Linked DNA regions of Ovis aries. The protein of the gene in region 3 interacts with the protein of the main gene of each other region in a pairwise test. Links are inferred from orthologs where the notes say so. Each region holds a gene or a part of one and is shown on either strand. Other genes may lie near its edges. The genes, in order: PRKAA2, DMRT3 and MTUS2.

The links.
Region 1: the proteins of MTUS2 (region 3) and PRKAA2 interact in binary tests that used the Homo sapiens proteins (3 or more experiments, as listed by UniProt). The link is inferred for Ovis aries from reciprocal best matches to the Homo sapiens genes MTUS2 and PRKAA2.
Region 2: the proteins of MTUS2 (region 3) and DMRT3 interact in binary tests that used the Homo sapiens proteins (3 or more experiments, as listed by UniProt). The two-hybrid records come from large-scale screens. The link is inferred for Ovis aries from reciprocal best matches to the Homo sapiens genes MTUS2 and DMRT3.

The regions. Positions count from the first base shown.
Region 1 is NC_056054.1:31,181,326-31,185,077, reverse strand, and holds the start of PRKAA2 (5'-AMP-activated protein kinase catalytic subunit alpha-2), read right to left. Parts: upstream 2,368-3,752; 5' UTR 2,326-2,367; coding exon 2,232-2,325; intron 1-2,231. UniProt on the Homo sapiens protein: Catalytic subunit of AMP-activated protein kinase (AMPK), an energy sensor protein kinase that plays a key role in regulating cellular energy metabolism.
Region 2 is NC_056055.1:69,252,298-69,254,676, reverse strand, and holds the end of DMRT3 (doublesex- and mab-3-related transcription factor 3), read right to left. Parts: intron 1,718-2,379; coding exon 750-1,717; 3' UTR 586-749; downstream 1-585. UniProt on the Homo sapiens protein: Probable transcription factor that plays a role in configuring the spinal circuits controlling stride in vertebrates.
Region 3 is NC_056063.1:31,551,467-31,555,118, forward strand, and holds part of MTUS2 (microtubule-associated tumor suppressor candidate 2), read right to left. Parts: intron 3,125-3,652; 5' UTR 2,881-3,124; coding exon 673-2,880; intron 1-672. UniProt on the Homo sapiens protein: Binds microtubules. Together with MAPRE1 may target the microtubule depolymerase KIF2C to the plus-end of microtubules. May regulate the dynamics of microtubules at their growing distal tip.

The DNA.
Region 1 (3,752 bases), on a different chromosome or scaffold from region 3:
GCTGCTCACTGGGAAGGAGTCTTCCAGGAAAAGGATTTCTCATAAATCCAAGTACCTTCTGTTGGTTTATATTTTAGGTCAGTTCAAGGATATATACAAAAAGAGATTTAAGTTGTCCTGTGACAATGGACCAAATGATCTATCTGATGGGTATTTTAGCCAATATTCAGGTTACACAATAATTTTTTTAAAAACAACAATTTTTAATGCAATTTGAAAAGGAACAGTATACATTATATAACTTGGAAAGTGTACATGCCTAGATGGTGAAGACTTGAGTGCGTAACATCAAAACACAATAGTCCTTAGTAATGTCACAGCATTAATCCAGTTCCTGAATCTTCATATATTCACTCTAAATATATTCTCTCCACTTACCACTTTATGAGGTCTTGCAAACCTAAGCCAGGAAGGACTTCACAGCCCTCACAGGACTTGAAAGAATTTTACAAACCTGAGGTCTTTATATAAACATACACCCTATCTGTAAGGCCATGCCTGACAATCTTACTGAAAACTGTGAACTGCACAAAACTCCGATTCACTTGTCTTCACAGCACTAAAAATACTACACACACACACACACACACACACACACAAATATATACAGTGATTACTGTCTTCCCCTACTTGAATATAAGCACCACAAAAGGAAAGATTTTAATGATTTTGTTCCTAGGGTGTCCCCATTACCTAGAACAGTGCCTGGCACACTGTAGGCACTCAGTAAGTGTTTACTGAACAAAAGAAAGGGTATCAGATGTGTGCAAGTAAATAAAAGCTGATCCCTACCATATGAATGAACGAGTCTCTTCTATCCACTTACAGCCTGGATTCAAGGTTAAAATAGGATTTTTGGACGAAGTGGAAGAGTAGTATTGATCTCTACACTACCATGTGTAAAACAGCTAGCTAGTGGGAAGCTAAGGTATGGCACAGAGAACGGCTGAGCGTTCTGTGATGACCTAGCAGAGTGGGAGGGAGGCTCAAGAAGGAGGGAATACATGTATACTTACAGCTGATTCACAATGTCATAGAGAAGAAACTAACACAAAATTGTAATTTACTATAATTTTTAAAACTTAAAATTTTTTCATTATGATTTTTTAAGGAAATAGAGGCCTCAATAAAATCCTCAAGCTGCCTACCCAACATTTTCTCAGCAAAATGAAAAAAGAAAAAAGCAACAACCAAAAGAAGTATTTTTAATAAGTTGGTTCTAGTTCTGGAGAGAGGACAAGTTAATTAATCTCACATGACTCTTAAGAAAAACAGGAAAGTTCAATACTTAACTAGTAACCAGTAAAAAAAAAAAAAAAAAAAAATCAAAGCAGCCTGTTTTTCTACACCCAAAATGGGATCCCATCACTTAGGAACACAGAGCTCAGCAGAGTACGTCTTAGCAATTCTGGCCTCAGCCCTACATCCTCAAGATCCAACTCCAAAGTCCCTTTTTCCTTTCCCTCCATCCTGGAAGCCTTCCTAGAACCATTTTACACACACAAGCAACCTTCAGACCTCCCAGTTCTAAGCCCTGACCCAACCCAGGTACATCCCAGCGTTTCCCAAGGCCAGCAGAAAGACCCACCCACCTCGCGCCCCGGGGATCCCCCGTAAACTACCAGCCCTACTAATCCAGAGTCAGGGAGCACGAAAGAATCCAGACAGCAGGACTTCCCAGCCTGGCCAAAATTGGAGGACATTTTAGACCTTTATCCCAGTTCTGCCAATTTCAGTGTGACCTTGAACACGTCCCTGCTAGGGGGTCCCCGTTTTCTCACGTTACAGGCGAAGATAACACCTGCAGCTGCTGTAAGGATTACAGGAGATCACACGTGAAGCACCTAACGGGACACCTGGCACGAAATGGGAACTCCACCATCAGGACCGTGGGTCATTCCTCAGGGTCCTTGCAGCCTCCCAGCTGAAAGGCATCTCGCCCAACAACCCAATCTCCGGGTTTCAGAGGGGGGCACTAAGGTCGGGCAGTAGAAGCGTGCTGGACGCCAGTCCCAGGACCTCGCGACGCCCCCGCCCGAGCCCCCTCGCCGGGACGCCGCCGTTGCCGCGGGGCGAAGCGGTACCCACTGCCTTCCCTCGGTCCCCAGGTTCCGCGCGGCCCGGGCGCGGCCGCTCCACCTGCCGCCAGGCCCCGCCACCCGCTGCCCGCTCGCGGCCCGGCACACCCGGACTCCGGGGCTCGGCCTCCCGCGAGGCGCGGCGTACTCAACTCTTCACTTTGCCGAAGGTGCCGACGCCCAGCGTGTCGCCCAGCACGTAGTGGCCGATCTTCACCCGCCCGTCGTGCTTCTGCTTCTCAGCCATGTTCGGCGCGCGCAGCCTCGCTCCGCCGCCGCGGGATCCTCTGCGCGGCCACCGCCGCCGCCTACCCACAGTGCAGCGGGCCCGCGGGGGGCGGGGGCCCGAGACTTGGGGACCAGGCGAGACGGGGCGGGGCGGGGCGGGGCGGGGGGAGGGGGGACGCGAGCAGGTGGGGGGCAGGGGCGGGGGCGCGCCGAGGCCCCTGGGCGGGCGTGAGGCCGGCGTGGGCCCGGGGCCAGGGCCCTGGGGGCGCAGTGGAGGGAGCGTGGGCGCTCGGTGCGGGGGAGGTCGGAGGCCGACAGGTGTGCGCGGAGCGGGGAGGGGGAAGGATGTCGCCTCGCTACCTGGAGGAGGGGCCCTGGGGTGGGAGCCGGGTTAAGGGGCCCTCTAGCAGAACCTGACGGTGCGAATGAGAGGGTGAGATTTGGGCCGAATCTTGGCGAGTGGAAAGCAATGGAAGTATTAATAGAACCTGGGGAAGAGAAACAGGCCTGAAGTGTGGGGAGAGAGGGGCGTGAAAAGCAGTGTGTGGGTCCGAGGGAAGTCAGGGCTGGCGGCAGTGGGGAAGGGCCTTGATCGAAGGTCAGTCGGAGGAGAGTCACAAGGAAGCTTTTGGAGTCACGCACTGTTTTCATACAGGTCACCAGGGCACAAACAAAAAAAGCCAACTCTGCTGGCTTCACTGATTCTCCTCTACGTTCTGTCTAATTCTCAGTTATGGAGGAGATACCCTCTCTAGAGCTCTCCGTTCTAACTAATTTGCACAAAGTTCACCAATCAGTCCCAATATTTGCTCAACTGTATTTTAGACATATAAATATATGGGCTTTCTAGGAGGCTCAGTGGTAAAGAATCCGCCTAGGAGACAAGGGTTTGATCCCTGGGTTGAGAAGATCCCAGGGAAAAGGAAATGGCAATCCACTCCGATAGTGTTGCCTGGGAATTCCCATAGACAGAGAAGCCTGGCGGGCTGCAGTCCATGGGGTCGCAAAAGAGTTAGACACAACTAATCAAGTATATATAGCAAAGAAATTGTGATAGAGCTGCACAAGAGGGAAATAGTGGAAGAAACTGAAGCGGGAAACTGAACGTAGTGAGCTTGGGGAGTAAGCTACCTAAGGGACAAGGGCAATGTAAGGGCACAAATTAAAGGTAAAGATTGAAGGGGGAGTGAGGAAACGGCAAGAGGAAACTAGAAGCAGGCAGAGCCTTAAAAACTGCCAAGATACAGTAAGTACAGTGATTACTCCTCCCGCCCTCCCTTCTCCTCTCCTTTCTTCTTTCCTTCCTTCAGTCTCCTAGTTTCCAGTGTTGCCTGTCAGTGCTTAAAAATCATTTGCCTATTGGGAATAAATGTTTAAGGATTAGTTGAACATCTTTTACCTATGTGTATGACAGTAGAGTTTCAAGGTCACATTCTTCAAATTGTA
Region 2 (2,379 bases), on a different chromosome or scaffold from region 3:
GAAATGACATAAACCAAGATCATCTCCTTAGTTTATTTTTTTCCTAGAGTCCTTAGCATGCTACATTAACCTGACAAAGCTTAATCTTGTGTTCATTTCACAATATATTTCATGCAGTTCACAGCTGTGATTGGGTTTACACTGACATTACACATGTTTTGAGTCAGCCATGTGAAAAGAATAATTTTTAATGGAGTCTGTCTCTGAAAACTGTCCAAGCTTAAATAAGCATGTGAGTAGTTCACTCTATTAAGTGCAGTCTCTCTTTAAAATGCAAGAAGGATTTTTAGCATAGGAATATGAGGCCCCTGTTTACAGTCCATTTGCAACCAAACCACTTCTTTAGGTTTCATTATCGTGAGGAATCCTCTTTTACAGAATTGCATTCAAGTACACTACATTACTGAAGATTCCAGGTTGAGTCTAGGGGTGGGGCCGACCTTTGGCTTTACCTCCCCAAAGACATCTTCCATGGGCCCAGGCTTTCCCCAGACCATTCTCAGCATCAGACTCTTTGACAACCAACATTCAGCACTAAAGCCACAGAGCAGAGCTATTTGGCATTTTCCAGTGAAGTGCAAGAAATTAAATAAGTTATGCTTTTTATTGCTAAGGTCTAGAATCAAGCAGGGTCACTTTGTCATATGGCAGGAGAAGGTATACACAGGACGTGGCCTCTCCACAAGGGGAGGGGCTCAGGGTTCAAATGCGCAGAAAATGTCACCTGGTCACCCCCATCGGGCGGCGCCTTAAGATGACGAGTTGAGTATTCGGGAGTCTGAGGAGTCAGACCTCTCGTCATAGTCATCCTCGGTGTAAATGGACTGCTTTGACACCATGGGACACCCGTCGTCGGGGATAGCGATCCGAGGGTCTTCGGGGGTGCGGGCGGGGAGGACGGGCGAGCTTCTGAAGACGCTGGTGGAGTTAGCGGGGAAAGGGCTGACGTACTGGGACCGCAGCTGGTACTGCTGCTGCAGCGTCATGGTGTTCCACAGGGTGACATCGTTGGGCAGAAAGGGGCTCGACTGGTTTCTCGCCAGAGTATTCCTCAGCATCAGAGGGTACCGGGGTGGCTGGGGAAACGGGTGCTGAAGGGGCACGGCCAGGGGGTTGGGGACCATGTTGGTGGAGTCGGCAGAAAACCTCAGCGTGTCGGGGACTCTGAAGGCCGACCCCACAGACCACTTAGATGAGGAGAGGGGGTAGGAGCTCAAGGTGTGCTCGAAGAGGTGCCCGTTGGAGGGCAGCACCAGGCCCTCAGGCTCCCCAGCAGAAGTCCGGTCGGCAGCCGAGGAGGACGAGCGGCTGGAGAGCAGGACCTCCACGGCGCTCACCAGGTCACCCCCACAGCCCTTGAGGATCAACTCCAGCACCGCCGGCTTTTGGTGGGGGAATATCTTTTTCAACACTTCTAGGGGCGGTCTGTTGGCTTTCAAGCTGAAGGGCAGAGACACGGTCCCCGAGGGGCCCTCGATCAGGAGGTGGCTCTGCTCCCCGGGGTACTTGGGGCTGTCGGGCTGGCTCTCTGAGCTGGCCCCGTTCTTCTGGACCGCGAATCCTGCTTCATCCACTGACACGATCTCGGGGCTCTCAGGTGTGAAGCAGCCCTTACTTTTGGCCACGTCTGGGGAGCTCCTCTGGTCCGTGTCTTTGTCGCTGAAAGTCTCAGCATTGTCAGCGGTGCTGCCATCCCCAAGTCGTTCTTCTGTCAAATCTGAAAAGCAGAGAACAGCTGGTTGAATCCTCTCCTGGTGTGCAAAGAACACATGTGCTCAGGAGAGGGCCCTACCTGCCCTTTTTGCAAGGGGAACTGCTTCTCTGTGGGTTATAACATACTGCAAGCCAGAAAATTATCCAAACTATGTCATTAGCAAATGGCAAAAAAACGAACAAACCCTGTAAGTAAGGATCTAGACATCAGAGTGATTTCTCAGAATGGGCTGTTCAGGAAAGCTTGCCTTCAACACAAAACGGTGCAGAAAGAGCCACAGCCACAGATGATGCGGCTATCTAGCAGTAACAGTCTAAATGCAGATCAGACTGGGGATAAACACTATCCAGGGACAAACAGAGAAATGAGCTTGGGCTTGTTTTCTAGCTCCTCTTCTCCAAATGAGGGGTCTGGTGCCACCAAAGGACATCAACAGCTGCAACAGCTGGTGCACGACCCATACACCCAAGGGAAAGTTTAATATTTTAAAACCATTTTCCCTAGGCAGATTCTGTGTTATATGTGAACTAGTCATCAGTATGTTTCATCAGGATACCATGTAGAATAACAAGTCAATATGATTGCCAGAGTAAAAGAAGCCTCCATCCGTGGAAACCTCTCTTAAAAGGCCACTCGAGATCCCAGAAGACTTGGTTGCCTATAAC
Region 3 (3,652 bases):
AGGCCTGGCATGCTGCAGCCCTTGGGGTCGCAAAGAATTGGACATGACTAAGCAACTGATCAAAAACAAAGGAAATCAACGCTGAATATTTACTGGAAGGACTGATGGTGAAGCTAAAACTCTAACACTTTGGCCATCTGATGCGAAGAGCCGACTCATTGGAAAAGACCCTGATGATGCTGGGAAGGATTGAAGGCAGGAGGAGAAGGGGATAACAGAGGATGAGATGGTTGGGTGCCATTGCTGACTCAATGAGCATGAGTTTGAGCAAGCTCCAGGAGATGGTGATGGACAGGGAAGCCTGCTGTGCTGCAGGCCATGGGGTTGCAAAGAGTCGGACACGACTGAGTGACTGAACAACAACAAGAACAATTTAAATGTGGAAGCCAATTTAAACGCTTTTCCAACTTTTATGTATTATGTCAGGTGGAATTTAAAAGAATCCCTTTAGATGTTAGATCCACCTCATTCTGGTCATCAGTCTCTTCCAGAGGAAACCGTTCATTTGCCTGCAATCTGCTCTAGTTCAAAACACGCCTTTCTACACAAATACGTCCATCATCATCTATAATTTGCTAAAAGAGGACACTCTGCTTTCACGATTCATTGAAAACACCTCACGAACTTCAGGATGTTCAACTCACAGACTGTCTCACAATGACATTCTCTTACCTCCTGCAAAAACTTCTCACTCATTGGACTGAAGGGATGTCCTGGGGGCTTGATCCCCGACACCACTAGTCCGGAGCTAAACACCCGGGGCCTCTGGAGGTCTGGCTTGAACTTCTCGTAGAGGCCGGCAGCCGGCTTCAGGTCGGCACCCGCCGCCTTGTCCTCTTTGGGGAGAGCCACGCTGCACGCAGGCGGGGCATAAGGGAGCCCCACAGGAACCAGCGACGCGTCCACCTGGCCGAGAGCCTGCGGGCTCCTCCGGATGTAGGTGATGATCTTGGGCCTCACGTGCTTGGGCTTGGGCATCACGACGGGCCTGGGTTCCGCCCGCTCTTCCCTCTTCTCAACCAGGGGGCCCACTGTCCCCTCCAGTGAGGCGGGTGTGTCCTCAGGACGGGGAAGGCCCCCAGGGCAGGCGTTCTTGGCAGGCACTTTTGGGGAGGTGTGTGACAACCCGGTGCTGTCAGCGGGAGGCAGGGCAGCCGGGGGGGACCCTACATCCACACTTGATGTGCCCAAGTCCTGAAAGCGGCTGCTGGGTGGCGGGGGCTGGCGGGCCACATTCACAGTTGTCTCTGGGTGGAGGGACGCAGGGACACCAAGAAGGACATCTGCCCTCACTGGGGAGGTGCTTTCAGTCTTTACTGCAGGTTCTAGATGGTTCCTGGTCTCTGCAAGAGATAGAGAGACCTCTTGGCCTTCCTCGGCTTCTGAGCGGCTGCTTGGAGGGTTGGGGGGCTCAGGGACCCCGGTTTTGCTCTCTCCAACAGAGGAATCTGAGTCAAAAACCATAGTGTTGACACTGTTCCCACCTCCCAGGACGCCTCTCTCGTCACTGGCAACAGAGGGCTTGCTGTCAGTTGAATCTCCAGGAACAAAAGCTACATGACCATCCCCTGCTGACACGCCGTTGGGCACTGTTTCACCCAGCTTCCGAGCTGCACCTGGCAAACTTATGGCCATGGGTTGCTGATCCGCAGCTTGTGAGGAACCGGGGCTCGATTTGAGGGTGGTTCGGAGAGACCCGTCCTCACCTCCCTTCTCTGGCTCATCTCTGTCTCTTATTGTGTCCAGGGGGTGGGGAACGCTGTGTGCCAGGCTGCTTAACCCAGCAGCTGAGGCTCCTGGCTGCGCCTCCCCAGCTGGCTCCTTTCTCCCAAGAGGTGACATGCCATGCCCCTGACGACACCCCAGCTCGCCCACCTGGGTGGACTTGAGCTCCTGCACAGCCCTGGGCTGGACAGGTTTCAGCTCTGTCTTGGGCTCCACTTTTCCTGGACCCACTTGTGCTTCTGGCCTCCTCAGGACATCCTTTGAGGCTGGAGAGCAATCAAGAGCACCCTCTGGATGGGCAGAAGGTGCTGTGCTCTGGGCGCTGAGCTTGGGTACCCGTCCCCTCTCTGGATGGGTCTCTAAGGGGACGGTCTCCATGGTTACTGAGGTAGATGGTTTAGGATGACGTGCGCCCTTTCCCTCTGAGGTCCCGTCCGCCGGAGGACAAGGCAGCCCTGGAGAAGGGGCTGTCCCCATCTTCGGCGGCCCCTCGCCACCGCCAGGCACCGGATGCGGGGCTTCTGGGGACCCCAGCCCTGTGGGTTGTGGAAGCGGCCAGGCCAGGCCCCCAGCCCACTCCTTTGTGAGCACGTCCACTGCTGCAGCAGAACTGCTGCATCTTTCCAAAGGATGCCTCCTCAGTTCCTCGTTGTCAAGGGTCTTGGCCAACTTATCCTTGGCGACAGGCCAGGGGACATCAGCCTCCCGCTTAGCTGGAACCTCTAGGCTGGACTCGCCCATGACAGTCCTCCGACTCGGCACACCTGGTCCCTGGAGACCACGAAGGACCTGCAGGTGGTCTGCGCCTCTCTCCAGCTCAGACTCTTCATTCCGTTCTCTCTGAGCCATCGGAGAGAATTTAAAATCCTTCAGGCCGGTGGGGCCAGCCTGAGATGCCTTTGCAAAGCCCTGAAGTGGGTGAAACTCCTTCGGGACACGGGGACTACTCTCTGGTCCCCTCGAATTTGCATTTCCAACTTCCTCTGGCACAGCACACGTGGCAGGCTTGTCAGAAGAGGAGCCAACCTCCAACACAATGGGGTTGGCATTGGCATCTCCCAAACTCAGGACTCGGTCGTTATTATTTTTTGCTCCATTTCTGCTGTCCCGCAATTCACTGTAACATGACTTCTTAGGCGCCACGGGAACGCTCATTTTCCAGCCGTCAGTGGGGGCTGCCTGCCATGCAGTCCTCCTTAATGGAAAAGGGTCTCCTTCAAGCTGCTACCTGGAGAAGAGGAAATTCTCAAGCTGCTTGTTGCCCCCTGACAGCGTCACTGGGGCGATCCTGCTTTCATCATTTTCAGAGCAGTCTTAAAACTGAGCATTGTCTTCACACACAGAAGGATGACTTATCTGTTAGGTTCCGGCTGAATGAGAGCCAATTAGTCCATGAGACCTAGAGAGAAATAAAAAGAAAAGTACAGTAGATTGACAGAAACTCTCGGTAAACAGATTTATTCATCACTTTCCTACCATTACTTCATTCACTCAACCCAGATGCTATTTCTCCAGAGCTTTTCTGATAGGGGCACGGCAGAACATAACATCGAAATGATTAATGTTAGAAATGGATTATAAACACACATTAAATCTTAAGTTTATATTTTAAAAATCCACAAGTTCACACTGATACTGATTTAAAAGGGCGGACGAGAAAGGAAGGTTTTTCTTCACAGAAGAATACCAACTGATACAAGAAAAATTAGACAATTAGAAAAATCACCACTTTGTATTCACCAGAGTAATAATTATCTTGGATGAGGGACACCAACGGTTGCTAAAATCACCAAGTGCAGAACTGTTGGGAAACAGGATATTTACACAATCGTAGAGCACCACCCTCCAGACTGCTTTATTTCCTACAAAGGAAAACTTCATCTGCACAATGGAGAAACCTGGTGGACGTCATCAAATTTATCGTATC